3 linked regions of the Coturnix japonica genome follow. The main gene of each other region encodes a partner of the protein of the gene in region 2 in a complex. Links are inferred from orthologs where the notes say so. Each region holds a gene or a part of one and is shown on either strand. Other genes may lie near its edges.

Region 1 (9,732 bases), on a different chromosome or scaffold from region 2:
GTTGCCACTGTTGATGAAAAATCTTCAAGGAGGAGGTGTCATTCCCTGCAGATTATGGCTGTAAAACCTTTTTTTAATGTCTCTGCTTCCAGCTCCACCACTGCAATCATGGCTGACAACGTATACTTTATCTTTCTTGAGTTTATCATGAGGAGAAAAAACACACACCAGAAAGATGTAGAATCAACTAAAAAACACCAAGGATTCTGCAGTCTTTTCCAACCACATGTTCCACTTGTGACAGAGAAAAAAAACTTCTTATAAAGGGAAGTATTCTGTCCTCACTGAACACACTGTGTTGGAAAATTCCCAACCTTCTCAGCAATCAAACATCATTGCAAAGAAAGGAAGAGACGCAGCAGCAGAATAAAGACCTCCTACATGTTGGTGAGAACTTCACCAGACCCCACTGAGCAAACATTCAGGCTCCACTCGGGTGTTTTTTTCCACTCAGTCTGAAATTTTATGGACTCAGTCACTTTTAATAGTAGAAGATAAAATTTCTTTTATTAGGAACATTAAAGATACTATTTTCATTCCAGATTCTCCCCTATCCAGAAAGGGATATTTTCATTATGAAAAACACCTAATCCAAAGTAGAAAAAAAAAAGATAAATCCTTTTATATACATACACACATATATATATACATCATGTCTTTGTACATTTGATTTTCTGTACAACAAAGGCACTAACAGAAGTGGCAATGGCACACGCAGGACTAATTTTTTGCTAAAGATGGCATTTCAAATAGGTTAACAGGAATACTTCCATTCTTGCTGAAATAATTCCTCCTCTTCTTCCTCCTCTCTGGGTGATATTATATATAATATATCTGTGTATATTTTCCCTAAGTAAAGACTGAACATAAAGTAAAGGAAAGGCCTCCAAAACTGGATAACAATTAGAGCAATCCCACCAGCACTCATTTTCACAGTTGAAACAAAGTTCCTTATCTAAGGAAAAAAAGGAACAACAACAAAAAAGAAACAAAAAAGAGCAACTTTTGTTGATTAAAGCCCATATCTGAACAAAGACAAAATTTAAAAGCATGATCAATAGCACAGCCCTGCAGACTGTAATCGATACAGCTTTATTCTATATTCCAAGCTTTGCAGCAAGCATCTTTCAAAACAGCTGGTGAAGGCATGAACTCTCAAAGGACTTGTGCTGCATTGAACCTAACAACAGAACTAGAAAAGAGCCCGAGGCAGCTGTTGAATCCTGCCATTGGTACTGCTAGAAAATAACCTCAAAGCAGAGTAGGGTAAACACCACACTCAGCACTTTTAAGTTGGAAGTGCAGCTGCAGTCAGAAAAGCTGAGAATAACTCTCATCTTAGCTCTGTATTTACACTTCACTCTTTGATAAATGTGTTTGCTTTTACCTGCCAACAATCAAAAGAAAGAAACCTCTGTGGGATTTTTCTCTCTCTCTTCATACATGCACCACAGATTATAAAGCCAAACAGGGTTCACTGCAGAAGTTTCTTTTCTAGCTTGTAAGGCAGCCAAAAACAAATGATGTCTTTGTGTTCTGTAGAGCAGCAAGAATCTTTTTGTCCTGTGCCTCTTAAGAGAGTAAACCTCCTCAACAGTGAGAAGAAACCAAAGCAAATGAGACAATTCCCATCTATAACCCAGTGGCTTTTACCATTTTTAAGGCAACTGACCACTGAGCATTCCCAGTTAGGAGGAAAGCAGAGGAGGAAGAGGGAGCACTGCAAACAATGATGACAGTGTAGTTTGCCAGGCAGACAAAGATCATTCCTCTCCTTCTGCCATTCGGTCAGACTGCCTCCTCTGTCTTGCTCCACGCCTCATACCCACAGCAGCAGAGGTGACTACTCATAACAGCCAGAGAAATGGGCTCCTCTTCCTTCTAGCAGCCAGCTGACTACAGTTCATTTCTTTCTGCGGATCTTGGGCTTTTTCACTGGCCGGAGATAAGGATTGTCTATCATATTCTCCTCCCCATTCCGGCTGCCAGACAAGGAGGTGTTCTGCTGTAATACTGAAGAATTCTCTTTTTCAGGTCCTGAATCATCCTGACACAGGAGAGAAAAAAAGAAAAAAAAAAAGCATAAATAACCAAAGTTAGTCTTAACAGGGCTTAGAAGTTCAAACCACAAAACACATGGGAGAAACATAATCAACAGCCAAGATAAACAGAAGCAAACAAAAAGCTGCACTGAAGGTGAGAACTGCAGATTTTTAATATAAGTAGATCCCCTCTGAGAACAGCATAGAATAGCGTGATGATCCTCTCTCCTCTAGCACAGAAATAAAGGTTGCATTGAAAGCTCGTGATCCACCATTAGATAACCTCAATGTACAACATATTTTGCAGAAAGTTAAACAACCATGACAATGTTAGTCATTTACATCCGGTAAAATGCAACCTACTTTGCCATTTTCCACCCCCTATGCTCAGCTGCAAGGAAGGCAAAGAACCAGGTTTTATATGTTTAAGAAAATCAGGCCCTAGAGACCTGAGGGTGGGCGTACCGTGCTCATATGCAAGGGCAGGTTCTCTGTGTCTGTCTGGTCGTCTTGCTCGGATGAATCTGTTTCTTCCATTTGCTGCATTTCCAGCTCCGAGGGGAGAAGAGCCGTCAGGTAGGGTACGGTGAATGGCCTGGCAGCAATCACTAGTGTTGGGGAAAAGCATGCAGTGAGCAGGAAGGGAGACAGATCATCAACTCAGCACTGAGTTGACAGCACTGGGATAAGGGAACGATAGGATGTATCAGTCAAAGCCTTCACCACCATCACAAGAAAGGGGGAATTTGTTTAGAGTAGAAGCCAGTGCTGTCTGAATTTCTGTAACTTTTGCACAAGTCATTTATGAACCCAAGGTTTTTATGCCTGTTTAAAATAGAAAGTCCCTCATTTCCTTCCCTTCCCGTGCTTCAGAAGGCTGAACACAATGTGATCCCTCAGTGCCCACCTCCTGCAATCACAAGAACACCAGATGTACACTCTGTTAGAGAACTGTCCTTTACAGCACAGGTTTCCAAGATAACTCACATGGGAATGTGCTAACATCATCTTTGAAGAGACTCTGTGTTTCTCCTGTCTTAGCCATGAAGCGGGTGAGAGCTCTTTCCACGTCACGCCTCTGAGATGCTGCCTTTTCCCGTAGGACTTGATAATCGGACACTGGCTCTCGGTACGTCTGTAGAGCAGGGATGACAAAACAAGTACAGTCACTAGATTCAGTGAAGACAGATCAAGTTCAAAACACTAATAGGATGCAGGCAAGCACTGACCTTCAACATGTGCACGTTTTCAAACAGCTACAGATATCAGCTATAAAACTAGAGCAAGTACAATATGCAAATGACAAGCATTGTGCCAAGGTAGCAGAAACAATGTTCAGGAACAGCACTACAATAAGAATGCACATGCACCTTTCCTAACATTACTGACTTCAGACAGAAACCAAATGGCACAAAAGTCTTTTTTCACTCACTGGTGTCTTGATGTAGGTGTGAGGATCTGGAAACTCAGGGAAATAGCCAGGGATGTGGGATGGATGTGGCTTGTTCTGTCCAGCTGTCAGGGCTTTGGGAGTCACGGGCTGATTTGTCACAGGAGCTATGGTTAAAAAAGCACATGCACTACATGAGCATATGACACAAGCAACAGTTTCAGGTTGTATTTGGCATCCCAAAAGGGAACAAGGCTTACATGACCCCTCCTACACAAGGAGAACCACCTTGAGGATTCTCATGTGCAATGAGGATACTGAAGCAAAAGCAACAGGTTTGGCAAAGGACAGACACTCTCCTTCACCTACTACATCATAATTACAGGAATCTTTAACACAAACTGAGTGCCCCGGAGCAATGGACTACACCATCCATGAGAAAAGCAGCAGCTCTCTGGATGCCAGCAGATAGAAAAGACAAATGGTTTCCTGCACAAGAAAAGGACTTCTCACATACGGGCAGTGATCACCATCCTCTGGGAGCGCTTTGCATATGCAGGAAGTGTTTCAACATTGAACCCTGAAATACAGAAGAAGAGAAAAATGGAATCACACCAAGAAGAAAGAAAATAATGTACTCTGTGTGCATACACACTACATCAACAGCAGTGATACTGGAGCCTCTGTGTGCAACCCAGAACAGCCGACATCACACAACTACACCAGGAACAGACTGTCATGGCAACACAGAACACCCACTGTATGTATGTGGAATGAGTGAGATGAGTCAGCTACTCACCCATCTCCACTAAAGTAACAACTATGTCAGACAGCGTGGGCTGTGTTCGGGCTGTATGCTCACAGTAGGACTTTGCACTCCTTCCAATTTCAGAAATATCTGGAGGGGAAAAAACCACCAACAACCATTACATGTTCATTTTATTTTATTCACATTCCATGTTCATTTCAGGCAGCAAACACACATTTGTGTCAGCACAACACCTGACTTTTGATCAAATCTAGTGTCATGGTTTTATGATTTTTGTTATTGTTATTGCACATCATAACATCATGGAAAGCACCGGGAGTTAAAGAGTTAAAACAAAACCAAACAAACAAACGAAAAACAGAAAGAGCGAAAGCAAATGTGAACCGATTTCAAGGTGATTTTGCCCTAAATCTGGTGGCACCCGACACTCACAGCTCTGTAACATCTCTGTCAGTGTTTCCACCGCAGCCTTCTCAGCGCTCTCAAAGCCGGCTTCAGTGAGCAAGGAGCTGACCACCACCTGCAGTGTCCTCCTTCGGGCCAGGTAGTAGTTATCTGCTGGCGTGGTCGTGTGCTTGCTGCCCGACCGCTGTGGACACAGACCCCAAAACACTGAACCTGAGCCCCAGACGAGCTGCCAGCACTCGCTCTGTGCTCACACATTGTCCCTGCACACATCACGGGTGTACATACACAGCACCTACCTACACACAGTACAGACCCACCTACACAGACACACATGTACAGACATACACACATGAGGACTGCTCTGAAAGTAATGCCTCCTATTTCATGATGTCGACATCAGGGTTAGATGTTGGAGGCGGGGTAAAGGCTGAACCTTCCTGCCAGCATTGTGTACATTACATTGTGTACATTACATTGTGTACATTACATTGTGTACATTACATTGCTGTGTGACAGGTGGCAGCAGCTGGACATAACGGTGTGTAATGAAGGAGTGTGAATGAAGCACAGAATCACTGTGTTCCTGGATGAGGGCAGATGCTTCTGGAGACAGAGCAGCCGCTGTGAGCACAGTGCGGCGTGTTCCAGTGATAACAGTGGGTCACTCCAGCAGTATGAGTGCAGCATGCAGCTCTTCTCCAGTGCCAATATGGGCAATGGTGGTGACCGTGTTAAACAGCAGTGCTTTCCAGATGTGCAAACACCTGATCACACAGTATGATTGTGCTGTACCTGCTGCAGCTTCCATGCGAATAAATAGGAGGCTTTACCTTAGGAGCGCCCTACAAGCAGTGCCTGTCCATACTCATATCCCCATATTTACACACGTTCCCCCATAGTCGCTCTGTCCCTTTAAACGCTGCATCAGAGCTCGGACCAATCACAGCTTGCCGCCAAGCCCCGCCCCCACGCAGCCATGCAGCCAATCAGCGCCTCCCTCCGTTCAGCTCCCCCTTAAAGCCGCCGCGCTCAGCCCGCAGCCGTTAGTGTCCCGCTCCCGGTGCAGGCCGCGCCGCTCCGCCCGGAGGGGCCGTTCCCACAACGACCCCGCGGCCCGACGAGGAGCCGCCGTTACCGTGCCGGAACCGCCGGGCGCCGTGTCGGCCATCTTGGAGCCATAGAGCGCTGTGCGCATGTGCGGGGCGGTGGGGCCGTGCGGCGAGGCGCGCGTTGCACTGTGGGGGCTGTAGGCGGCTCCAACATCCCCCACAGCCCCGCGGTGCGACCGGGACGGGACAACGACGGGATGGTGATGGGACAACGATAATGGGACAACAACGATGGGACGGCGATGGGACAACAACGATGGGACGATGAGCTCCGGTAACGGCGGCTCCATGGCGGGGCAGCGGCCCGGCCCGGCAGCGCTGCACGATGCCCCGAGAGCTGCGAGAACCTGCAGCCCCGCCCCGCGATGCCGGAGCCGTGTGGAGAGTAAACAACAGCCAGGAGCGGGACGGGACCGGGCAGCGGAGCTGGTGGATGGTGAAGGTACGAGGCACATAATGGGTGGATGGAGCGGGGAGCTGCTGCCATAGTACGGCCTGGGCCTGAGCTGCCGGTGTGTGAAGGTGCCGTTGTTGTGGCGGTGTCAGCACCCAGCTCTGCTGTGCCCGGCGGGGTCGGTCCCTCGCTGTGTTCGGGGCTGTGTGTGCTGTGCTGGCTGCTGGAATTGGTGGCAGTGATTAACGGAGTGTGAGGGAGCACAAGGAGCTGGGAATGGAAGCGCTGTGTGTGGTGGAGCTGTGACCTGCTGGTTGATTGTGGGGCGGAGTGATGTGCGTTATATGGAGGGATGTGGCAGCTGGGAGCTCAAAGCAGCCGAGTGAAGCTGCTGAGAACAGGCTCAGGCTTCATGTTGGGTGGCTGCATTACTTGGTTTATTCACACGTGGGAGCTGTTGGATAAATGAGATCCCAGCCCTGTGCTGCCCGGTTGGTTTTCGTTGGCTTTGTGGGTTTTTTGTTTGTTTGTTTTACTCTTGGGAATACTTTTCCCCCATCCCACAGTATCATACACTTCAGAACAAAGCTGTTTCTTTGTACACAGGGTGTCTCTGAGGAGGGGGTAGCAGGGGAAGCCCTGCAGTGAGGGCTGCTGGGTGCTCTAGTTATTGGTGCAGAGCACTGTGTTATTTTGGATTCCAGTCCTGGCTGCATCCAGCCTGCTGAATAACCAGACACAATCTCTTTGCTCCTCTGCACGTTTTTTCCCATCAATAAGTACTGCCATGCCTTGTGAGCTGCTCTCAGAACTGATAAAGTGCACCCGCTGATGTTACAGTACATAACATAACATTGGTGGTGGTGTCAGCTGGAGCCCTTGGGTTCTAACCAGAGCACTGCAGTCCCTTCTAAACTCAGTTACAAACTGAAAATCCAGAGCCTGGTGGAATTTTCCTCAGCTAAATATGTGCAGAAGTCCCTAAAATCACAGGTGCTGCATCCTGTTTTATGGCACAGGTACATCATTCTGTTATGCATGGCTTCCGTTTGCCTGGCAGGGTGGGAGTGGGAAATGCTTCCATAAAGGTCTGGCTGCTCAGTGATGTCGGGGTTTCTTGTGTGTCTGTGAAGCAGCAGCTGCTCGCAGCCACCGGAGGAGACTGGCCAGCCAAGAGGAAAGGGGTGAAGTGAAACAAGGAGAGCTTCAGGGCTGTGCTGAAAGATGTTGCCAGGGATCTGATGTGGAAGGGAAGGAATCTGGAAGCGAGCAGAACCATGCTGGCTGTTCGTGTCCATAGGTGGAGGGTGACATCCTTATTTTGGAGCCCATGTGGAGTGGGAATCGATGTTGCTGCTGGAAACGTTTGCCAGTTTATGGTGCCAGCTTCCTCTGCAGTGCTGTGAAATCAGTCAGCTGGCAGCAAAACAAGGAGATGTGGGATGGTGGGAGTCTGTGCGCCTTCCTGAGCATGGGGTTTTTTCCCAGAGATTGGAACGCTTCCTTTTGCAACAAGAAGAACTTTCAGATCGGTCTCAGACTGAGAAAGGAAAGAAGCTCACGTGTTTTTACAGAATTTCATGCAGATTATTTCAAAGAAGATGTAGGAGGTGGGAATCCCAAGTCCTTATTGTGTCACCCCAGACAAACATTAAACCTCAGAGAGCTACAGCTGAATAGTTATTCTCATACTGACGGTCCCAGGGGGGAGAAGCTGTGAAGCCTGTTGAAATTCAGCCTTGTAAAGAATGATGGGAATGGATGACTGTCCACTCTTTGGTAGGGAAAGCCCAAGGCTTTGTCAGTTCTGAACTGGGCAGTGCTGGTGAAGGGGGGGCTGCAGGGATCTGGTGTGGGAACCTGGTGTTTGAACCTGGTGTTTCTGAGCAGCAACAGAGATGGGTAGGTGGAAATTGCTGCGGTCGATGTGGGGGTGAACTTTTGCATGTGCTTCTGTCCCCCAGCACCACTGCCACCAGAGGGCACGTTGTCACCATGTGCTCTTACTGGCTTATGTCAGAAGCCAAAATAGCTAGCAGCGAATTCATTTAGACTCTTACAGCCCCCTTACAGCAGTCAGGATGTCACCAAAACCTTCCCTGTGCCCATGTGGTTCTGAAAAGTGAAGCCCCCAAGCTCCTTGACTAATGCATTGTAAGGGTTGTTGCATAGTATGATAGTGACAAGCACTTGATGCACAGGACAAGGGCAAGGAGGGAATAAGCTGTACGTCTGAGAATGTTTCTCCTAAGGACATTGGCCTGTTGCTTGCAGAGATCATGACCTGAATGCAGTGAGGCTGTTGCTGCTTTGCTACTATTGACAAATAACCTCCTCTCTAAAGCAACAGTGGTGTTAATGTTGGCAATATGATTGTGTGAAGTAATACCCTGTGGACTTGTTGCTTGCTGGTGGAGGAGGCTGATGTCTTGGCAGAAAGCACTGCCCTGCCTGGGCTCATGGGATGGGGATCTGTGCAGCTCTGCTGGGTCACTTCTGGAGTTCACATAAATCTTCTCAAAATTATGTTGCATGTGTGTAAGATGGAGTTTCCAGAGTGCAGGATCCATCTCGGTGCGTGAGTTAGGTGTTCCATCCTTGGAGTTCTGAGTAAAGCTTGAAGCCATTTCATCAAGACTACAAATAGCCCCAGTGGGAGATCCCAGGAGCTTTCTTTTGGCCTAACTGGAGTGTCAGAACATCTTTACTGATTAAAGTGGGCCCGGGGTGGTTGATATCCACTGGACTTTTTATTGTAATGCTATTTAGCTGATGTAAAAACTGTTCTTTCCCATCCCATTAGCTCATAGTTGTGTTTGAGTCAGTGCTGTATCTAATCCAGCAAGCATGTAAACCCACACTTCCAGGCTGTCCAGAGCCTCTGCTGCCAGGAACTATTGCAGATTCCAGGTCAGCTTTTCCTGCCTCATCAATGACTCAGTGGATGTTCTGCATTTTGTTCCTTCTGTTTTCTTCAAACCTTAGAGCCCGAAGGTGATGAGGAGATAGGCTGAGCTGGTTGCTGGATCAACAGATGTAGAGTTCAGATGCAGAGTTTGCTGAAAGAGAAGCAGAGGAACAGTGTCAGGTGTGGTGATATTGTGCCCTCCAGATCCTTACAGGTGATACAGCTGGGCCTGTGCTGGAGAACATAAGATCTCTGCCCAGTCCCGTCCACAAGCTGTCATTCTTTGTCACCACCCTTGCTCTGGCAAACTGCAGCTACCTCAGGTGTGCCAGATGCTGGATGCAGCAAGCACTGATGCAGTCCCTTGCTATGGAATATGCTGTAAATTAGTATTTTAGCAATTAGTGGCAGAGAGCCAAGGGCATGTACAGCAGAATGTGCATCTTGGTGCTGGAGCCTTGCTCCTCACCCCAGGCATCTGTCTGTCCTGTAGATGTCTTCACATTGCTGGAGGAGGTGCTGCAACAAGTAGGTTCAGTCACTGGTAAGGCAGATGTCAGCAGTAGAGCTGGGCCAGGATGATGTGCCTGTCTGCTTTTTGCACGCTTCCCTCTGTGGCTGCAGCCTGCCAGTGGAAGCCATGTCTGCTCTGAGCCTGAGCTGCATTGCCCATGCCTTTGATATCTTGCAAAGAGCAGGGTGTTGCTGCTGG
Region 2 (9,790 bases):
AGTGCTTCCATTTTTAACCCTGTGATGTTACACCCGGCAAGAACAAGGCCTCAATTTCACCCTGCCTGATCTTTCACTAGCAATACAGCTACAGTTACAATATGAACACTTGATGAAAAAGAAGAAATTGTATTTAAAATTATAATAGGCCTCAAATGCAATACCAAAAATACATTTCTAAATACATTAAGATAGCTACCTTTAATCTTGCTTCAATAATCTTTGTGAGTGTAAGGCAGTCACCATGGAAGCCACTGCATCCAATGACTGTTCGCTCTGTTCTGTAAAACAAAGTTTAGTTGTGATTTTAGATTTAGCACGAACTATATCAGCTTCTTATAAAGTAAGTTATGAAAATATCAAGTGTATTTCCAGCTTCTCAAATGCTATCAGAAATAGTTGTCTAAAATGTAGTAGTAACAGGTATTCCAATAATAAAAGCTGACTCATTAAGTGCAGGATCACACAGATGTTAGTCTTCAACCCACTGATTTCCACAGCAAAGCTTTGGAAAGAAAAAAATACCTTAATTTCTTCAAGCACCTCTAACTGTAGCTATTACCAAGCCGTGTCATGTTACTCAATATGTTTTTACTCCATCTGGCCAGGGAACTGCTTTTAGCTGGTGAGGTAATGTTTATGATGTAGGTGATTTTTGGTGTCAGCACAACAGTGGTGACCTCATTGCAGCCTTTCAGTACCTGAAGGGAACCTGTATCCATGAGGGGAGTGAACTCTTCGAAAGGGCTGACAATAGCAGGACACGGGGAAATGGTTTTATGTTAAAAAGGGAAGATTTAGGTTGGATGTTAGGTTAGGGGGAAGTTCTTCACTAGGAGAGTGGTTAGGCCCTGGAACAGGCTGCCCAGGGAGGTTGTGGATGCCCCGTCCTTGGAGGTGTTCAAGACCAGGTTGGACGGGGCCCTGGGCACCTGATCTAGTAAAGGTGTATGTTTGGGGCCCTGCCAGGCAGGGGGTTGGAACTACATCTCCTTGACGGTCCCTTCCAACCACGGGTCATTCTGTGTTACTGTATCTGCTGATGTACTATACAGTATTAGCAGTTTGATCAGTTTCATAGCAAACATTTAACATTAATTAACTGGCACTAACATTTAAGCAATAACTACAGGAACCCACATTTGAATTTTAAGTTCTATAAATCTATGAAAGCCTACAAACACTGACATATTGTCCTGGTTTTGGCTGGGATAGAGCTCACTTTTTTCCTAGTAGCTGCTACGTTGCTGTGCTTTGGATGGAGGGTAACTGTTGGTAACATCCATGTTTTGGCTGTTGCTGAGCAGCATTGCACAGAGCCAAGTTGCTTTCCCAGCTTTTCACACTGCCATGACAGCAACTGAGGCCATGAGGGTGCAAGGGAAGCTGGGAGATGGGACCAGGGCAGGACAGCCAATCCGAACCAGCCAAGGCGATGTCCCATACTGTGCAGGGTCACGTGGACATGATAAAGTTGGAGAGAGCTGATCAATGTCGCAAGGAGAATCTGATCTAAGGAACTGGCTGGGGCATTGGTCAGCAGGTGGGAGAGCAATTGCCCATGCCTTCCATTCTCTTTATTATTATTTCCTTCAATTTTCTGACCTATCAAACTACTTTTGCATCAGCCCATTGGTTTACCTTGTGTTTTTTCCAGTATCATAGTCTCGTGTGGGTTGGAGGGCCCTTAGAGATCATTGAGTCCAACCCCTGGGATTCGAGCCCCTGTGTAGCAGAGCGGGCATTCTACCACCTTGCACACCACAGGGGGATTCGAACCCAGGCTCTCTTTCACATCCCACTGCAGGTGGGTTGTGGTGGAAGCAAGCAATACCTGCCCAGTGCTTTAGCTTCAATGAGGTTAAAACACCAGCACACATTTATAAGTTTAAACACTCAAAACCACTTCAATTGAGATTGCCTCAATTTCTGTCACCCGAATTACCCAAAGCCATCCTGGGCTTCTACACCTAATTGTACTAAAGCAATCTTCCACTGGACAGTAACAGAGAATCAAAGATACTACACAGAGTTACAGGCTCATTCTTCCATTTCAGTCCTTACAAGGTGCAGACTTACAGTTTGTAGCATTTGGGGCTGTCCCGGCTGTGAATTGCATAACCTTCACTCAGCCGTGTGTCGGAGGCAAACAATGCTGAAAGTCTTCCCCAGCGATCGCCAGCACAGTCCTTAAAGAAGAGCATTCATATAATTCACACAATTGGCACAACTTAGTTCTTAGGCAAGCGATGAACAGCCAGAAGAATAACAGAATGACCCGGGTTGGAAGGGACCTCAAGGATCATGTAGTTCCAACCCCCCTGCCTGGCAGGGCCACCAAACATACACATTTACTACATCAGAGTTGCCCAGGCCCGTCCCAACCGGGTCTTTGGAACACCTCCAAGGACGGGGCATCCACAACCTCCCTGGGCAGCCTGTTCCAGGGCCTAACCACTCTCCTAGTGAAGACAGAAGGCAAAACGACAACGAGCAAGACGCAGCCCAGCTCACCTCCCCCCGGCCCATCCCTGCCCGCGGCTCTCACCCGCCGTTGAAGGTGTATGGCGAGAAGCGGTACTGCACAGGTCCGCCCAGCCCATATCCCGGCTCCGGCCTCAGCTCGGCGTATCGCGCTGCGGACAGCATCCCTACGGCACCAGCCCTGCTGTCTCACGGCAAAATGGCGGCACCGGAAGCGAGGAGGCGGCGCTCTACGAGGCACAGGCACCTCGTCTCGTCTGCTCTGGAGGTACCACGCCCCATCGGCGGTGACCACCCGGCCGCATGGAGCCGTGCCAGCCTTCGGGCGGCAGGGCCGGCAAGCACAGCAGGCTCTCGCCATGAGCACACCAGCACACCGTGTGCCCCGGTGGTGCAGTAGTAGCAATGCCGCTTTGCAACACCGCAGGCCCTGGGTTCGAATCCCCCCTGTGGCGCGTGTGGTAGAAGTGCCGCTCTGCTACACAGAGGCTCGAATCCCGGGGGTTGGACTCGATGATCTCTAAGGTCCCTTCCAACCCGCACCACACTGTGACACTGTGAGCACGGCACCACACGCTGTGCCACGAGGTGCGAGTAAAGCCAACACCCCGCAGACAACAGCCCGCAGGCCCCGCCCTCACTCAAGATGGCGGTAAGAGGGGCGGGGCGGATTCGTGGCGGAAGTGACGCAATCGAGGCGCGCCGGCGGCGCGGTCTCGGGGCGCAGCCTGTGTCCCGCAGTTGCGGTGCTGGTTGTGGCGGCGCCGCGCGGCAGGTACCGGCCGTTCCGTGTCCCGCTCCGCCCCGCAGCCCACACGGCGCGGGCTGTGCCGCTTATGGCGGGGGGGGTGGCCGGGCCGAGCCCGCTTCTTACTCCCCGTGGGCGCCGCCGTAGGGTCGGGGTCCTGCGGGCGGGCCCGAGCGGCGGGGAGGGGGGGAGGGAGAGAAGGGATGTGCGGGGTGAGCGGGCCGCGGGCCGAGCGGAGCGACGGGAGCGATCCCGGTACGGCCGTTGGTGCCGGGGGCGTGATGGCGGCGGGACGCGGTCACCGCCTCCCACACGTGACGGCGGGCGGGGAACGCGGCGGCGGCGGCGGCCTTGGGTTCGGTACGGGAGCCGTGATCGGCCCTTGCCCTGCACGTGGGCCTGGTACCGGGGCTCGGCGGCTGGGTTCGGTGTATGTGGAGTCCGCGCGGCGTGTTGGGCCTGAGGATGGGCTGCCCGTGATGCTGGGTAACGGCTGGGCCCCTTCTTTGCACGGTGTGCAACGTGGAAACGCCTTTGGGTAAAACAGCGGGTGGTTAATGTGATACTGAGTGCCTTAAGGACGAGAGAAAGATGGGCAGGCTTTCTTCAAATGTTTCAGTGCTGTGCCTTAAAATGGCTTAGGAGCTCTCTGTGTAAGTGTGCAGTTAAGCTATAAATGAATAGGAAAAATATCTGATAAAAAGGCTTAGCATTTCATAATATAGCTATGCAGAGAAGGAGCTGGGTGTTTGCAGACAGCAGGTTGGCCATGAGTGTGCCCCGGTGGCCCAGAGGGCCAATGGGATCCTGGGGTGCATCAAAAAGAGCATGGCCGGCAGGTTGAGGGAGGTGATCTCCCCCTCTGCCCTGCCCTGCTGAGGCTCCATCTGGAGCACTGCGTCCAGTTCTGGGCTCCCCAGTTCAAGGCAGAACAAGGAGTAGTGGACACAAACTGCAGCATGGGAAGCTCCGTACAAATAGAGGAAGACAGAGCTGCCCAGAGAGGCTGTGGAGTCCCCTTCACAGTAGGTACTCAAAACTTACCCAGCCACTCTCCTGCTGTAGGGATCCTGCTTTAGCAGAGGATTGGGCTCAGTGATCTCTGGAGGTCACTTCCAGCCCTTACAGCGCCATGAAAGCATTTCAGTTCTCTATTTGTATTGTTTCTTTCCATTGCGTGCCAATAGAGGTACAGGTCTTTGTTTAAAAGGCAAAAAACAAACAGTAAGTGAAACAACACCCAGAAGAATACTTTCGTTTCATGCATATACCTGGAATTGGCTTTTAGTTTCCCTTTTTCCCCTCGTGAAGTACGTCATTGCAATTCAAAATACATTAGTGCTTTGCTTTATGGAAGTAGATGGGAGGAGGTTTCCTAAACCTGAGTTTACCAGCAGTATTTTCATATAGCAAAATCAAAAAACAACTTTGGAAGGCCAAGCCTTAACTCTGCCCAGGGGGAGATGTGTGAGCGAAGCGTGGCTTTAGGCTCGTCTGTCAGTAGCTGGTGGAATTCAGTTCTGAAAGTCAATGCTTTCCCATCTGAAGCGATGCATGCAGGACTGGAGCTGTGTGTGAAGGAGGCCTTCGTTGTGGAGGCGGCTGCTCACGTGCAGTGGATGTTCACCAGGGGCACTAGGGCTGTAGAAAGAGATTGCTTTATATAAGGTGCATGGGTGTGTGCGTGCGTATGAGTGTTCTCGCATATATTTGTATGTGGGCATTTCTTATCTAACAGACCAGCTGATAAGCCTGCTTTTGTTTAAATGTTATTCTCAAGATATTACTTCTTTTCTTTTCAGGCCCTGTTTAGTGTTTTAGACTCGCAACGTGTTTTCTCTGGAGCTGATGTTTTCCTGACACGTTTTCAGCTTGGCTAAAAAGCTGCTTTGCTGGAATGCTTTAGAGGGTCAAAAACCCTTTTTGGTTTTAAATTAATTTCAATTAATTGAAGGAAATATTTCTGGCCTCACCAAAGAATAACCGGAATCATGGATCAGAACAACAGCTTGCCACCCTACGCTCAAGGCTTAGCCTCCCCTCAGGTAAAAAGGGATGATGTGATATGCAAAAGCGGTCTGAATTTCTTTGTGGGAGTGTTTTCTGTGTCTTGTATGTTATTTCTTTGTGTCTTTTTTTGTTTGTGTGTTTGCAGATCTGAAAAATTCTACTGTATATAACTTACTCAGTAAAAAGCAGAGATGAAAAACCATTTATATATAGATAGATAGATAGATATGGGTATATATAGATATATATCCAGAGGTTTAAGAAATACACTGATATATTTATGGTTTTCATGAAGCTGAAACATTACTGGCATGTTGAAAATAAGAAGGTTCAGGGGAGACCTCATTGCAGCCTTCCAGCACTTGAAGGGAACTTGCAAGCAGGAGGAGGGGGGCTGACTTTTTAACATGGTCTAATAGCAGTAGGACAACGGGGAATGGCTTTAAACTAAAAGAGGGAAATTTAGGTTAGATGTTAGGAGGAAATTCTTTATTCAGAGAGTGGTCAGGCACAGAGAAGCCTGTGAAGCTTCTCTTGGCCAGAGAAGCTGTGGATGCCCCATCCCTGGAGGCATTCAAGGCCAGGTTGGATGGGGCCCTGAGCTGGTGGGTGGCAGCCCTGCCTATGGCAGAGGGTGGGACTGGATGGACTTTCCCTTCCAACTCAAGTCATTGTATCATTTTAACTTTGTTCATTGCTTTTGGAATCCTTTAAATTGGCTTATATGTAATGGACTACAGTTGTGCTGTGAATGCATTTGCATTCTAATGATTGCAAGTAGGAATTGTGGGTCAAAGTTGAGACGCACTTTCCAGGTATTGTAGGAAACGTACCAGCGTCGCTGACTGGTGCTGAGAAGTGTTGGAATTGACAGATCGATTGAGGTTGTGATTCATGTTGTGTAAGAACTGAATCTTCCAAAGGTTTTCTGTTTTTAGCAAGTTAGTAATATACCGTGGGCTTGATGTGACCAGCTAAGATGATTTATTCTTAGACTCCTACTACTTCAAGCTTCTTCTCTTTAAAACAATGTTAAGTCAAAGCGTCTGTGGTTTCTTTTTCATGTTTTCTTCTGCAGGGTGCAATGACTCCTGGAATTCCAATTTTTAGCCCAATGATGCCCTATGGCACGGGACTGACACCGCAGCCTGTCCAGAGCACCAACAGTCTGTCTATCCTTGAGGAACAGCAGCGGCAGCAGCAGCAGCAGCAACAGGCAGCACAGCAGTCTACATCACAGCAAGCGACACAGGGAACATCTGGTCAAACTCCTCAGCTCTTCCACTCACAGACTCTTACCACAGCCCCTTTACCAGGAACCACACCTCTGTACCCCTCCCCAATGACTCCAATGACTCCTATAACTCCTGCGACACCGGCATCCGAGAGCTCTGGGATAGTGCCACAGCTACAGTGAGTGTGTTGTGTGCTTGTACACCGTGACATCTCAGGATGTGCTTTAACTCGAAATATCCAAGAGCAAAGCCACATAAGTAATTGTGTACTGCATTTTGATAGGAAAGAAGGTCTTGAATATTTATTTGTATGAGTAGTGCAGAACATTGACATTGTAAACTACTTTTTACAAGGGTGGATAGTGATAGGACAAGGGGGAATGGTTTTAAACTGAGACAGGGGAGGTTTAGGTTAGGTATTAGGAAGAAGTTTTTCACCCAGAGGGTGGTGATGCACTGGAACAGGTTGCCCATGGAGGTTGTAGATGCCCCATCCCTGGAGGCATTCAAGGCCAGGCTGGATGTGGCTCTGGGCAGCCTGGTCTGGTGGTTGGCGACCCTGCACATAGCAGGGGTGTGCAGAGAATTTTGTTGGTGAGATAACATCTGTAATGGAATTGGAAGGGTTGAAAGGAAGTACTGCCCTAAAAGAGGAGTTTCCTGTCAGTAGGAGAGATGTCACTTAAGCTTGCTTGGTTAAACAAATGAAAAGAAATTAGTAAGTATGTTATGATGGATAAGATGCGTGAATTCTTTAATTTACTTTTTAAAATGTATTTCTCTGAACTATTTTCAGGAATATTGTGTCCACGGTGAATCTCGGTTGCAAACTTGATTTAAAAACAATTGCGCTTCGTGCCCGAAATGCTGAATATAATCCCAAGGTAAGAGAAGTGTGTTAGAATGTATCCAGTAACAGGTATGTGGGCAGAACATCTCTGGAGTGTGCTTTGCTGTAAGTAGCTGGATTGAACAGGGGGGGTTTTATGGCCTCGCTCCCCCTCTAAGCTCTGTTCTTTCAGATATTCCCCCAGTACTGGCTGTTGCTGTCTGTTATAACAGCGATGCTGTTAACAACTGCATGTGAGTAAGATGCTCATGCAGCTCACATTTGAGTGTGCGATGCTGGCTGTTATGTTAGGGGTAGGTGGCTGTGCAGAGCTTGTAGGCTAGAACGATCAATATGAAATGCTGGATTTTCACAGCAGAGAGAAAAGAAGGGTTATGTAACGCACTCGTGACTTTTAGTCAGTGCATCCTTTTATGAAACAAATAGCTTGCTTGGCTGTGTTATTTAAGCCACAGTTTGACAAATGTGTTTTTGGGTAACCCATGCTACTACCTTCATTATGTCAGCAGAACAGTAGTACATGAGACTGCATAGTGAACTGGTCCAAGTTTAATACAGCACAGAGATTTTGTGTGTGATACCCACATCAGTTTGCAGTATTTGTTTCTTCAAAGAGCTTAAGAATGTTTATAAATGCAGGTAGAGATGTTACAGTATGTAAAATAAAAAGCTAGAGCTTACTGGGCTACTGTATTCTACCATAGTAGTTAAGGTGAATTCAGTTTACATGGAATATGGCTTCTGACTTCCCAGTGGTTCTGTTTGATGACACTGTAATGCTACCCAAATGTTTAAGGTACAAAACCAAAGTAGACCATAAAGTATTTGCATAACCTTCCATCCTGCTTAGAACAGATTGAATTTCAAGACGTGGAGGAAAACTTGGTGTTAAGATCATTGCTGTCATTGTGTTGCAAACATTAGTAGTATTTGTGTCGTGTATGTGGTAGTTAGAAATGAGCTTAGTAAAAGAGGAGTGCAGTACTAAAAATCCTTCCTGTTCAACTCTAAGTGCATTTGAAACTAAATAAAGCTTGCTTGAATGAAGAGTGTTCTGCAAATATACTTGAATCTAATTATTTCTTTGCAATGGCTACTTAGATTATGCAAACTCGGTTTTAATGTACTTGTTACATTTGTGTATCACTAATAATTTCCATGCTCACATTTCAGCGTTTTGCTGCTGTTATTATGAGAATAAGAGAACCACGTACTACTGCACTTATATTCAGCTCTGGAAAAATGGTGTGCACAGGAGCAAAAAGGTAAGCTCAGCTGGTAGGAGCAAACTAATTAAGGCCATCTTTTCTTTTGAAATCACAATGCTTTAGAAATATAGTTTCTTTTATACGGTGTTTATATACATGTTGTATATGTATACCCATATAAAATGGCTATGCACTGTAACTGTTTAAACTATAGGGGCAGTGGCAGGATAAGCACAATTTGGTGTTTGTTTCATTTACTGTGGGTCAGGAGCTCCAAGTCTCTGGTACCTGTAGTCTGATCTGTTCTTAATGGGATCACTGAGGCATCAGACTTGAAAACTGGCAGGAGAGAAATTCTGCTGTGAAGTCCTTTGGGAATCCAGAAGGAATAACCTAATGAGCAGAGATCGTGGAATCATGAAATAATTTGGGTTGGAAGGGACCTTTAAGATCATCCAGTTCCAATTCCCTTGCTATGGGCAGGGACACCTCCCTCTAGATCAGGTTGCTCAAAGCATCCAGAGAGCATCCACAGCCTCTCTGGGCAACCTGTTCCAGTGTTTCACCACCCTCACAGTAAATAATTTCTTCCTAATATCCAGTCTAAATCTATACTCTTCCAGTTCAAAGCCATTTCTCCTCATCCTGTCACTACACACCCATATAAAAAGTCCCTTTCCAGTTTTCCTGTAGGCTCCCTTCAGGTACTGAAAGGCTGCAATGAGGTCTCCTTGGAGTCTTCTCCAGGCTTAAGAACCCCAGCTCTCTCAGCCTGTCCTTGTAGGGGACAGAGTAGAGTTTTCTGCTTCATAAACAGTGAATGCAGTGTTAAAGTGTTCGGGACCTTGGTACTACAACTGAGTGTGCAAACCAGTAGTAGTTGTTCATTTTGGATGTAAACATTTTGCAACTCTCCTGCAACACACGCAATGTTTCTTTCCCAGTTAAATATTTGTGGCTTGGTGCTGTTTGCTTGAAGTAGTGCTTAATAAGGGAAATAAGCTGGCTCTTTTTTTCTCCCTTCAGCGAAGAACAGTCCAGACTGGCAGCAAGGAAGTACGCAAGAGTTGTTCAGAAACTGGGTTTTCCTGCGAAATTTTTGGATTTTAAGATTCAGAACATGGTGGGCAGCTGTGATGTGAAGTTTCCTATCAGATTAGAAGGATTGGTACTCACACACCAGCAGTTCAGCAGGTAAATGAAGGTTTGCCTACCTTTCATTCTTGCTGTGTTGTGACTAGCTTAGAGCGGCATC
Region 3 (9,790 bases), on a different chromosome or scaffold from region 2:
TAAGGGGGAGAACAAGGAACAGGATGGTTTTGGCAGATCTCCTCATCGACTCAGATATTGCTGCACCGTCAATAAAAAATAGATGCTTCTCTGTAAAGCACGAACAAATAATATCCCATGGGTGGCGTCGCAGAGGCTGCAGTGAGAGGCAGAGATCCCAAAATGCACCGCTGGCAGCTCCGAGCTCTTCTCCCACTTCTACTTCTTGGTGGTTTTACGGATCAGTGCCATTCTCTGCAAGGAGAAGAAGGTGGGAAGCTGAGTCTCGGATCATTGCAATGCAACCTGAACAGCAGATGTGCAGAACAACCCATCTCGGGTTCTCTCAGGGCACTGCCCGGCTTGTTTCCACACAGGTCTGTCAACTTCATTTGAATCTCAGAGTCTTGGAGGAAAAGGAAACGTCTGCGCTGCCCCAATTTGCCCCCCAGGCTGTAAAGGCTGCGTGATAAAGGAGAGCAGCAGCACCAGGGGAGGGACTGAAGCCCATCTGAGCTTCAGGAGGAGCTGCAATAACACCCATGCACTCCAACAGCTCCTGCAGGGAACCTCCTGCCTTATGCTTCAAAAGCAATTGCCTGATGCAGTTAAAACAAAATTAAGGGGGGAAAAAAAACCAGCTGCAGTCACAGCTGAAATCACAGACAACTGCATGCTCTTAAACCTTATGGTGGTAGGGAGCTGAGACCTGCAATTCCACTCAGAAGAGGTTACGGATTCACCAGGAGTCCAAGGGCACATTACCTACATAAGGCTTCTACCATGCAATTCTCAGCACGTTCCTAAGGGCTCCTTACCTGTTTGTGAGCTTCTGTAGTGCAGGCTTTTTTGTAGGGCCTGATTTCTTCAGAACCAAAGCCCGGGATCCACATGTTCCACTGACGCTCTGGAAGAGAGAGAGCACGTGCCAGAGCACTGAACCCACCTGGAGACGATGGGTTTAGGGGCAGATTATCCCCTCATTCCTTTATGGTGAGAGCAGTGAGTCTTCTCATGGGTTGTCACCCCAGCAGTGGGCTGTGCACCCACCTCTCAGGTGAGGGCAAAAGCTCCTTACCAAGGTGCAACTGGACATCTTTCACTTCCAGGGTGTTTGACTTGCGATGCCGTGCGAGCTGGCAGGCAGCTGTCACCACGCTCTCTATGAAATCATCAGCAATCTGCAACAGCATCTGCCACAGAACGAGGACAAAAAGAGGTCTCAGCAGCACCCAACAGCTGAAACTATGAGAATGTATGAAAATGAACCCTCCGAAGATAATGTTTCAAGGGTGTTTTTGCTTCCCTGAAGCCTTTCTGAACACTGGGAAGCAGAGACATGGATGGCTGAAGGCTGCAATGAACGTGAGAATAAGGCAGTGTAATATAAACCAGCCCTCCCTGCTTTGGGCAAAGGGTCACTGGGCTGTGAGAAACCCCAGAGCTGCTCTTTCTGCAGCCCCTGCCATGGGTTGGTATCTACCTCCTCCACGTCTTCATCGAGCTGTTCGTTTGGATCCACCTCACGCACCAGGTCCTGCAATTTCTTCTTGGTTAAAACCTGAGTAAGTGAGAGAGAAAATTGGAACCGTTCACTGCGATGCTTTAGCAAATCACTGCCCACCCTGCACAGCCACAAAAGACCTCCTCCCTTACAAAGCAGAGACACAAGTCACACGTGTTGACACGTGGTATCAGCCCAGGAAGGGCAGATAAGAGACATCAGGTGCTAAGGAGTCATTTTCAAGCACTACTGGCTGCTCTGAACAGAAAGCAGAGTGAGCAGAGCGCAGCAGGTTAAGAGGACTAATTCTCCTGTGCTAAACCAGCACTAAAATGCCCCTGTCTGAAGCGGGGCTGACGGCAAGAGAGGACAAAGACATAGTGAGAAATCTTTAAAGCAACGTTCCAGCGACTAATTTTGTGTTCAGGACACAAAGGAAGCATTCCCATTGCTCTAAAGCTCATCACCTTTAGCATTTCAAATGGCAAACGGCCACACGTGAGTGCTGGATTACTGCAGGGCAGAAGGCAGCATCCTATCAGCCCAAATATGTGAATAGATCAGGAATTCCAGCACTGCTGGGCAGCAGGGAGAGCTGTGAGCATCCCCCCTGCAGCTGGGGATGAATTTACCTGGTTGCTTTCAGGACTGAGCCGCCCTCCTCCGCTGGGTGTACCCGGCATCTTTGCCACGGCGGTGCTGTTTGCCATGGAGCTTTGAGGGGGAGTGCTGGCAGGTTCAGGCTTTATGGAGGAGAAGTTGGAGAGGTTGATCAAGGTAGATGGGCCAAACTGGTTCATAATCTGTTGGGCTTTAGCTTTTAGATCATAAAGCTTGTCGAGGTCCTGCTTCTTCTTGGGGTTGTGGGGACCCAAACCGATCAACTGGAGAGAGGGAGACAGACAGTCAGCAAACAGAGCAGGAATCTAAAGGGGGATCCAAAGTACTGACAGGACCCAGAGTTCATAGATGGGTCTCTGGACCTGAACGTTTAGAAGACATTCCCTGGTATATGGGCAATGAAGTCTTCCCTGAGAAGCACAGCAGCTGCATGCAGCACCCTGACATCAGCGGCTCCTCACCCTGCTGGATCCTGCATGTGTTCAGCCTCACAGCAGGGCCTGCCTGAACCACCTCACACGTACTGCAGGAGGCTTCGAGGGTGAGACCAGAGCTGAGATTTAACCTAAGGACACAGCCCAGCCCGCAATGCACAGCAGGCTCGAGCCCTGTCTGTGCTCAGTCCACAAACCCAGGAGGCAGAAGCCTAAACCAGAAGACAACCATGCTTGGGCTCCCCTCACTGCGGGTCTCAGTTTTTGCAGCAATCCCCCTCCTGAAATCCAGAGCCATCTTCACAACACAGAGCTCAGCTCCAGCTCTAAGGAACAGCGACAAGAGAGGAAACACAGACGTGGCTTCGCATGGAGGGACACCAAAAGCCACAGTGAGGAAACCTAACAGGGGAGGTTGTGGCAGCACAACGTGCAGCTCAGCCCTCCTGGGGTCACCACCACGTGCCTGTGGTTACTCACATTGTCGGCTGCATGGACGGAGCAGAGCTGCTGTGTGCAATGCACTCACAGTGATGAGCAGAGCGTCTCCTGTCTCAGCTACAAACACGTTTTCCCTTCAGCAGAGCAAGCTGTTAGTTCGGATTAATCCATACAGAAAACAAAACCAGAGATCAGGCTCAGCCAGCGGCTGTTTTAGTGCTTCACAAACACAAACCCATGCGGAGCTCTCCTACAAGAGACTTTACATTGAGCCCAATGGCACAAGGCCCTTATGCTCAAACCTCAGCATCCTCAGCGCTGTTTCATTGCACACCTGGGTTTGCACAGGGGCTGCCTGCAGGCTGTTTGCTCCCATGCTTTATATCCACATCCACCAAGCAGGAATCCTCACCATCCATGCAGGGAAGGAGCCAACACCTGTTACATGGCTTTACAAAACCATGACAGCAATGATTTGAAACCCTGGGCAGGATGCACTTCGTTGGTATAAAGCCACTTTGCACATCATTCTCCTGATCTTATGGCACCTTTTGGGTGCTGTTAAGATCACTGAAGGCAAAACACCCACGGTGAGGCCCTGCATGCCAACTCAAGGCAACCTCACTCCGTTTACTTACAGCTATCTGCGTGTCTAGATCTTTAATTACATCAGCCACTGCTGTGGGCCCAGCGAACGGGGAGGCCATTTCCCAAAGCCTTCCTTGGGGTCAGCAGCTTAAACTACTGTGTTCCACATCACTCCCAGTCCTACAGGACTCCTACAGGAACACCAGATATTGGCACCCAGCCCCAATTAACAGGGAACACTTTGGCCATTCCCAATTAACAGGAAGCACTTTGGATCCATGAGCTCCTGTTGGATGTGCTGCTCATCCATCCCAATTCTCCCTCTCAATTTGAAGCCGTTCCCCTTTAACCTGTCATTCCCATGTCAAATCTCCCTCCCACTCCCCTTTATCCTGTTGTTATCATGTCAGATCTCCTTCCCATTCCCCTTTATCCTGTTGTTATCAACTCAGATCTCCCTCCCATTCCCCTTTATCCTGTTGTTATCATGTCAGATCTCCCTCCTACTCCCCTTTATCCCATTGTTATCACATCAGATCTCCCTCTCATTCCCCTTTATCCCGTTGTTATCATGTCAGATCTCCTTCCCGTTCCCCCTTATCCTGTTGTTATCATGTCATATCTCCCTCCCATTCCCCTTTATCCCATCGTTATCAGCTCAGATCTCCCTCCAGTTCCCCTTTATCCTGTCGTTATCATGTCAGATCTCCTTCCCATTCCCCTTTATCCTGTTATCACATCAGATCTTCCTCCCATTCCCCTTTATCCCGTTGTTATCAGCTCAGATCTCCCTCCCTTTCTCTCCTATCAGCCCACATCCCCCTCCAATCACTCTCAATCAGCTCCCATGGATCTCAATGCTGCACACCCCACACGGACACCCAGCGGCTCACCCCCAGCCCTTTGATACACGGCTCATATCGCCCTATACAGCCCGTATTACAATCCCTACGGGCCGCCCCGTGCTCTCCTTACATCGGGAGGCCTCAATCAGCACCAAGACCCGGCAAATCACCGGGAGGACAACGCAGCCCCTCGTAGCCGACCTCAGCCCCACCGGTACCGGCTGTACGGCCCCATATAACCCCATATAACCCCATATCGCCCCATATAACCCCATATAACCCCATATAACCCCATATAACCCCATACAGCCCCGTACCTCCCCATGCCCCGCGGGCGGACCGAGGCCCAGCCGCCGGAAGTACTATCGGCGCCGTGGGACGCACTGCGCGTGCGCAATGTTGGGTCTGTAGGAGGCGGGGATTGAGAGCAACCCAGCATGCACCGCGTGATTTGCATAATGCTCCCAGAGCAACGGGGCGGGCGGGAAAACGAGATTTTTGAGTGAAAAAAGATGTGAAAACAGCCAAAAGCGCAGCGATATGAAGGGGGAAAGGTGGGGGATGAGGTATTTCACATCATCTTCGCTCGCCCGGAGCTCGAGGGGATTGCGCTGCTCGTAATATGCCGCATCGGGATAGCGGAGCTTTAAAAAGGGCTTCTGCCGTGCGTGGCACGGGGGGGCTGCGGCCGCCCCCGCGGAATCGACATCAAGAGATTTCGGAAGCACAATTTTTGTGGGGGGGGTCGCCGGTAACCGACTGTTCCGGCGCCCCGGGCGGTGTGTGAACGGCAGCGATAAGAGTAGGGGTCCCTATAGTGGGTGTCTATAGGGGGGCTGAGACTGTAGTGGACCCCCCCCCCCCATAGGGCTGTATGTGATGGGGTTGGGGCTGTATGGAACCAGGCACCATCTGTACCCAGAGCTTCTACCCACCTGTGTGTCCACACAGCTGATGGAGGATCGCTCTGTATCCATGTATGTATATATAGATATGGATATATTTAAATATTAGTGCACATTTCCTTATAAAACCCCTCTGTGCCCCCCCACACAACGAAGGCCTCCAGCTGTATGTGCAGCCTCACCAGGCCTCGTGGTACACGTGTGAGCAGGGACAGTCTGTGGGCTCATCTGAGCCGGGTCCATCCGCACCGACCTCCTCACCCCCATTGGGGCCAGCAGTCCGCTCTGCACCGGGTGGGGCTGAGCCCAGCACAGGGGGCTGCAGAGGGGGGGCAACGTACCGTGATGGGGGGGAGGATGGAGAGCCGGCACGGCTGGGGTCGGTGCGGGTCCATTTGGGGTCGGTGCGGGTCCATTTGGGGTCGCTGTGGGTCCATCGGGTGCCGCTGGGTTCGGGCTCACCGAATGGTGTGGCGTATTCGGGTTCTGGAGGAAGAGGCTCCGCGTATTCGTGGTGTTTACCTGGCACGTCGTAATGGCTGACGACCAGTGGTAAGGTATAGCCTTCATCTGGGGGGGGTTTGAAGGTGGACGAGCCCAACTGGCTGCTGGGGCTCAGCTGCACCACGTCTGGCTCAGCATAGTCTGCAATGGGGTAACACAGCTCTGAGATGGGGCTGGCCATGCTAAGTTTGTAGCCCCACGTCCAGCCCTGGCTTTCAGGTGTTGGTGTGGAGCACGGTACCCACCCCACACCTCCCTGTGCCTCTGCGATCCCAGTGCTGCCTTGTGATGCCCACACACTGCCATGTCCTCCCCTTGCAGAGGTTCAGGGTGCAGTAAGGGGGGATGTGGGTCTGTTCTGCCCCATCACTGTGGCCCCTGTGTTCCCATTACCTGGTGAGTGGGTTTGGCTGAGGTCCCCCAGCGCCACAGGGAAGGAGGGCAGCGTGGATCTGGGGGCTGGCAGGCTCCCCAGGGAGCACACCTGGCTCATCTCCTGCTTGGGTTGCCCTGGGCAGAGAACAGAAGCCCCCATTTATCTCAATCCAGCCTCCACCGCCCCTGGATGCCCTTTGGGGATGGGGGTGCCCTTAGAGTGGATGAGCAGGAAGGAGCCCTGAGCCTTCAACCAGCTGCATCTGACCTGAATTCGGTGCCTCCCACACTGAGTGGGGGCTGTTACCTTTTGGGAGCCCGCAGTTCAGCTTGGTGGTCGGCTTCCTGCAAAGGGAGAGAGAACAACACAGGTGAGTGGATGCCTGTGATGGAGGGTTCAGCCACCAGGATGCAGCCAGCAGCTTAACGCAGCCTCATAGAAGCCCCATGATCTCGGACCCACCTCCTCTTGTGGCAGAGGAAAGCCAGCAGCAGGAAGCTGGAGCAGAGGAGGACAAAGACACCGATGAGCAGCATCACCAGCAGCGTGGAGTCTGGGAAGGGAGAGCAGCATCAGCACCTGGGTCCAACATCCCACACCTCCACCCATGGGGGTCCCCTGGGTGCTGAGAGCCCACCCGGTGCTGTCAATGGGGTGAGGATCAGCCCCCATGTGGCACCCACCTGCCTTCTCAGGGTCCAGGGCAATGCCAGGGATGGGTGTGCGGCCAGGAGGGCGGCTGGTGGGGATGGGGATGTGGATGGGGATCTCCTTTGGGATGCTGGGCACTGCAGGGCACAGCGGGTGCTGTCAGTGATGGGGAACATGGGGAGATGGAGGTCCCCATGGGCAATAGGGACGCTCACCATAGGGCCGTGCTGCACGGACACGTGCCATCTGGCAGCCCAGCAGGGCCACCTTCATGGCAGCGCGTTGGTGCCAGCTGTGGGGTGTGATGCGCAGGTAGCGGGTTGTGATGGGGGGGATGAAGGCGTTGGAGACCTCCCCGAGGCTGTCCACGTTCCCTTCAAAGACCTGCTGGGGATGGCAGGGATGGCTGCAGAGCTGCTGACCCAGGGCTGCACCCACCCTGCTGCCCCCCCTGTGCCCACCTTGTCCTCCCGGCCGCTGCTGCCCTTGTAGGGTCTCCAGTTCTTCCCATCCCGGCTGGAGGACACCCGGTAGGACGTCACATAGAAGTCATATATCTCAGCAGATCCCTTTGTGATGATCCCTGTCGGGCAGGATGCGCCCTTATATCACCCCAACCCCCCCACAGCTCCTTCCTGGACACCCACATCCCCCGCTCTGCCCCGAGGAGCCGATAAACCCCGGTTACATTCCTCCCTCCCTCCTCCGGCCCCCAGTCTCACAATGTCCCCATTTTCTTCCTGCCGGCCTCTGCACAAAGCCCCCGTTGGCGGCAGGCTTGGCTGAACAAAAGGAGCTCGTTGGCACCAGATGCAAGAGCATAATATTGACTTGTTCATCCCAGAAATGGCTGCAGTGGGGAAGGAACAAAATGGGGACGGGAAAAAGCCACGAGGAAGGACAGATACCGTCCAGATCCCAGTTTGCACCAGTACAACCAGTACAAGCAGAGCAGGGATGGCACAGAGAGCACCCAAACTCTCCTGGGAGTTAAAGGTTGAGGGAGGGGGGGGCTGTAAGTCTGTAATGTCTTTGGGCATCTCTTTGGGCAGTGTGGGGGTCCCACCTTGGCAGCAAGCAGGGTGACATGGGGACAAGCACCATCCCCATCCACCAGCTGACACTGTGCTGACCTGTGATGTTCCTGCGGGTCCCCAGGTCCAGTTCCAGCCAGGCGGTGTCGGTGCCGGGTTCTGCTGCCCAGGAGGGGCTGGGGGTGCCCAGCGCTGCCCGCTCAGCTGCCCAGCTCCGCTCCTGCCCCACTGCATCCACCTCCTGCCACCAGGATGAGGCGTTGAAGGCGGCCACCTCCAGAGCATCGCCGCAGGCTGCAAGGTGAGGTGACAGCTGGGGACCTGCACAGCACCGCGGGCTCCTCGTGCAGCCAAAACGATGGTTTCACATATGGGAAAATACCTTTGTGGAATAGGAGACGCTTCTCAGAGAGTGAGCCCCTGTGAGAAGGGAAGGGGGGAGGTCAGGAACGGGGCCCCCCAGCAAAGCCACCCTGGGGGGCTCTGACACCCGAGGGGAGGCGGCTGGGACCCCCGTGCCCACCTTTTGGAGTGCAGCCCGTTGGCAAAGGCCGACTCATAGAGCGTGATCCCCTTCACACGGGACAGGGTGACCTGCCCACCCACCTCATCAGCGACCACACCAGCGTGCACAGCTGCCTTGCACAGCACTGAGGTCTGCAGGGAGACTGGGGTCAGTGCAGCCACGCAGCCCCCTGACCTCCCTCCATTTAGTGGCATCAGGATGGAGGTGACAGGTGACAGACAGCACCCGTGGGTGACACCATCCCAGTTGAGCAGGGCTCTGTACGTACATCCCGGTAGCCGTCCTTCGTGTTGCCCCAGATGTCCCCCTCGATGTCCTTGCAGCCAGCAGGGCAGTACACGCTGAAATGCACAGGGTGAGTGGGATGGGGACACAAGTGCTGCTGGGGATGGGTAGTGATGCTGGGGGCTGCTCACCTGACGTGCTCCTGGGAGAAGTGGGTACCTCTGACCAAACAGGAGATCAGGTCTGCAAGGCAGGGATGGCCCAAGGTGAGGGGATGTGCGGGACCCCCACAGCACCCAGCTCTCCATGGGGCACCCCATCTCTGTCCCCTTCCCAACCAAACCCTGTTCCAGGGGTAGGTTTTTCCCTTTGGATCTATGGGAACATGGTGTCTCTTTGGTCACAGTGCTGTCTGCAGCAGAGCTTGATACTGGTGCCCAAGCTGCCCTGAGGGTGCCATTCCCTATCACCTCTCCCACTTCCACAGCCCCCAGGCAAAGAAAATGGGGGCTTGTAGGGGGCTGGGGGCAACGGGAGCCAAGCTGGGGTGGGCACAGGCCTCCCTGCACCCCTGATACAGGTAGAGACACAGCTTGGGGGGTCAGCACCTACAGGGGACAGACCCCCTCCATACCTGGGTGCTGCGAGCTGGCATAGGACAGGAGGAGGCCCCGTCCTGAGCGGTGACTGGTGCTGTTGAACAGGACGGTGACAGCACTGGAGTTGGTGACCAGCAGCGGGGCGGCAGGGACAGCATTCCTACAGTAGGGCCCTGCAGGAGGGAGGGGGCTGTGGGGAGGACTGGGGTCCCTGGGGGTGGACGCAGGGACCCGGATCGAGGGCTTCACCTCCCCGGATGCGTGTGATGCTCAGGGTGACCCCACAGCCACAAAGTGACACTGAGGTGACGTCACGTCTGCCAGCCGGGTCATCCCCCTCTGCTTCCCGGCAAACTTCTCCTAAGAGCTTCTTAATTGCACCCAGCTGGGATGGAGCAAGCAGCCGTGTGGCCGGCAGCTCTCATTGAGGCAATGGCTGCGGGGCTGGCACGCACGGTTCGGCTGCAGAATGGCTCCACATCCCCTCCCTGCTGCCACCCGTCCCCCTTCCCCATTGGGAGCCACCAAAGCTGCCTCCTAAATCCCCCCGAGCAAAGA

The links.
Region 1: TBP (region 2) and TAF8 share a complex: the UniProt entries of both Homo sapiens proteins name them as parts of the TFIID basal transcription factor complex. The link is inferred for Coturnix japonica from reciprocal best matches to the Homo sapiens genes TBP and TAF8.
Region 3: TBP (region 2) and TAF12 share a complex: the UniProt entries of both Homo sapiens proteins name them as parts of the TFIID basal transcription factor complex. The link is inferred for Coturnix japonica from reciprocal best matches to the Homo sapiens genes TBP and TAF12.

The regions. Positions count from the first base shown.
Region 1 is NC_029541.1:4,764,378-4,774,109, reverse strand, and holds TAF8 (transcription initiation factor TFIID subunit 8), read right to left. Parts: upstream 6,033-9,732; 5' UTR 6,009-6,032; coding exon 5,745-6,008; intron 4,791-5,744; coding exon 4,634-4,790; intron 4,331-4,633; coding exon 4,232-4,330; intron 4,013-4,231; coding exon 3,950-4,012; intron 3,600-3,949; coding exon 3,475-3,599; intron 3,178-3,474; coding exon 3,030-3,177; intron 2,651-3,029; coding exon 2,508-2,650; intron 2,048-2,507; coding exon 1,904-2,047; 3' UTR 480-1,903; downstream 1-479. UniProt on the Homo sapiens protein: The TFIID basal transcription factor complex plays a major role in the initiation of RNA polymerase II (Pol II)-dependent transcription.
Region 2 is NC_029518.1:36,560,633-36,570,422, reverse strand, and holds the start of TBP (TATA-box-binding protein), read left to right. Parts: upstream 1-3,149; 5' UTR 3,150-3,259; intron 3,260-5,034; 5' UTR 5,035-5,223; coding exon 5,224-5,277; intron 5,278-6,320; coding exon 6,321-6,655; intron 6,656-7,273; coding exon 7,274-7,361; intron 7,362-8,500; coding exon 8,501-8,592; intron 8,593-9,561; coding exon 9,562-9,729; intron 9,730-9,790. UniProt on the Homo sapiens protein: The TFIID basal transcription factor complex plays a major role in the initiation of RNA polymerase II (Pol II)-dependent transcription.
Region 3 is NC_029538.1:2,025,460-2,035,249, reverse strand, and holds the start of TAF12 (transcription initiation factor TFIID subunit 12), read right to left. Parts: upstream 4,806-9,790; 5' UTR 4,730-4,805; intron 3,759-4,729; 5' UTR 3,687-3,758; coding exon 3,618-3,686; intron 3,129-3,617; exon of another isoform or gene 3,019-3,128; intron 2,368-3,018; coding exon 2,116-2,367; intron 1,541-2,115; coding exon 1,463-1,540; intron 1,173-1,462; coding exon 1,058-1,172; intron 887-1,057; coding exon 798-886; intron 235-797; coding exon 199-234; 3' UTR 1-198. Other genes in the region: discoidin, CUB and LCCL domain-containing protein 1-like, read right to left, coding at 5,496-5,962, 6,215-6,331, 6,504-6,541, 6,660-6,750, 6,881-6,985, 7,064-7,232, 7,310-7,431, 7,982-8,176 and 5 more. UniProt on the Homo sapiens protein: The TFIID basal transcription factor complex plays a major role in the initiation of RNA polymerase II (Pol II)-dependent transcription.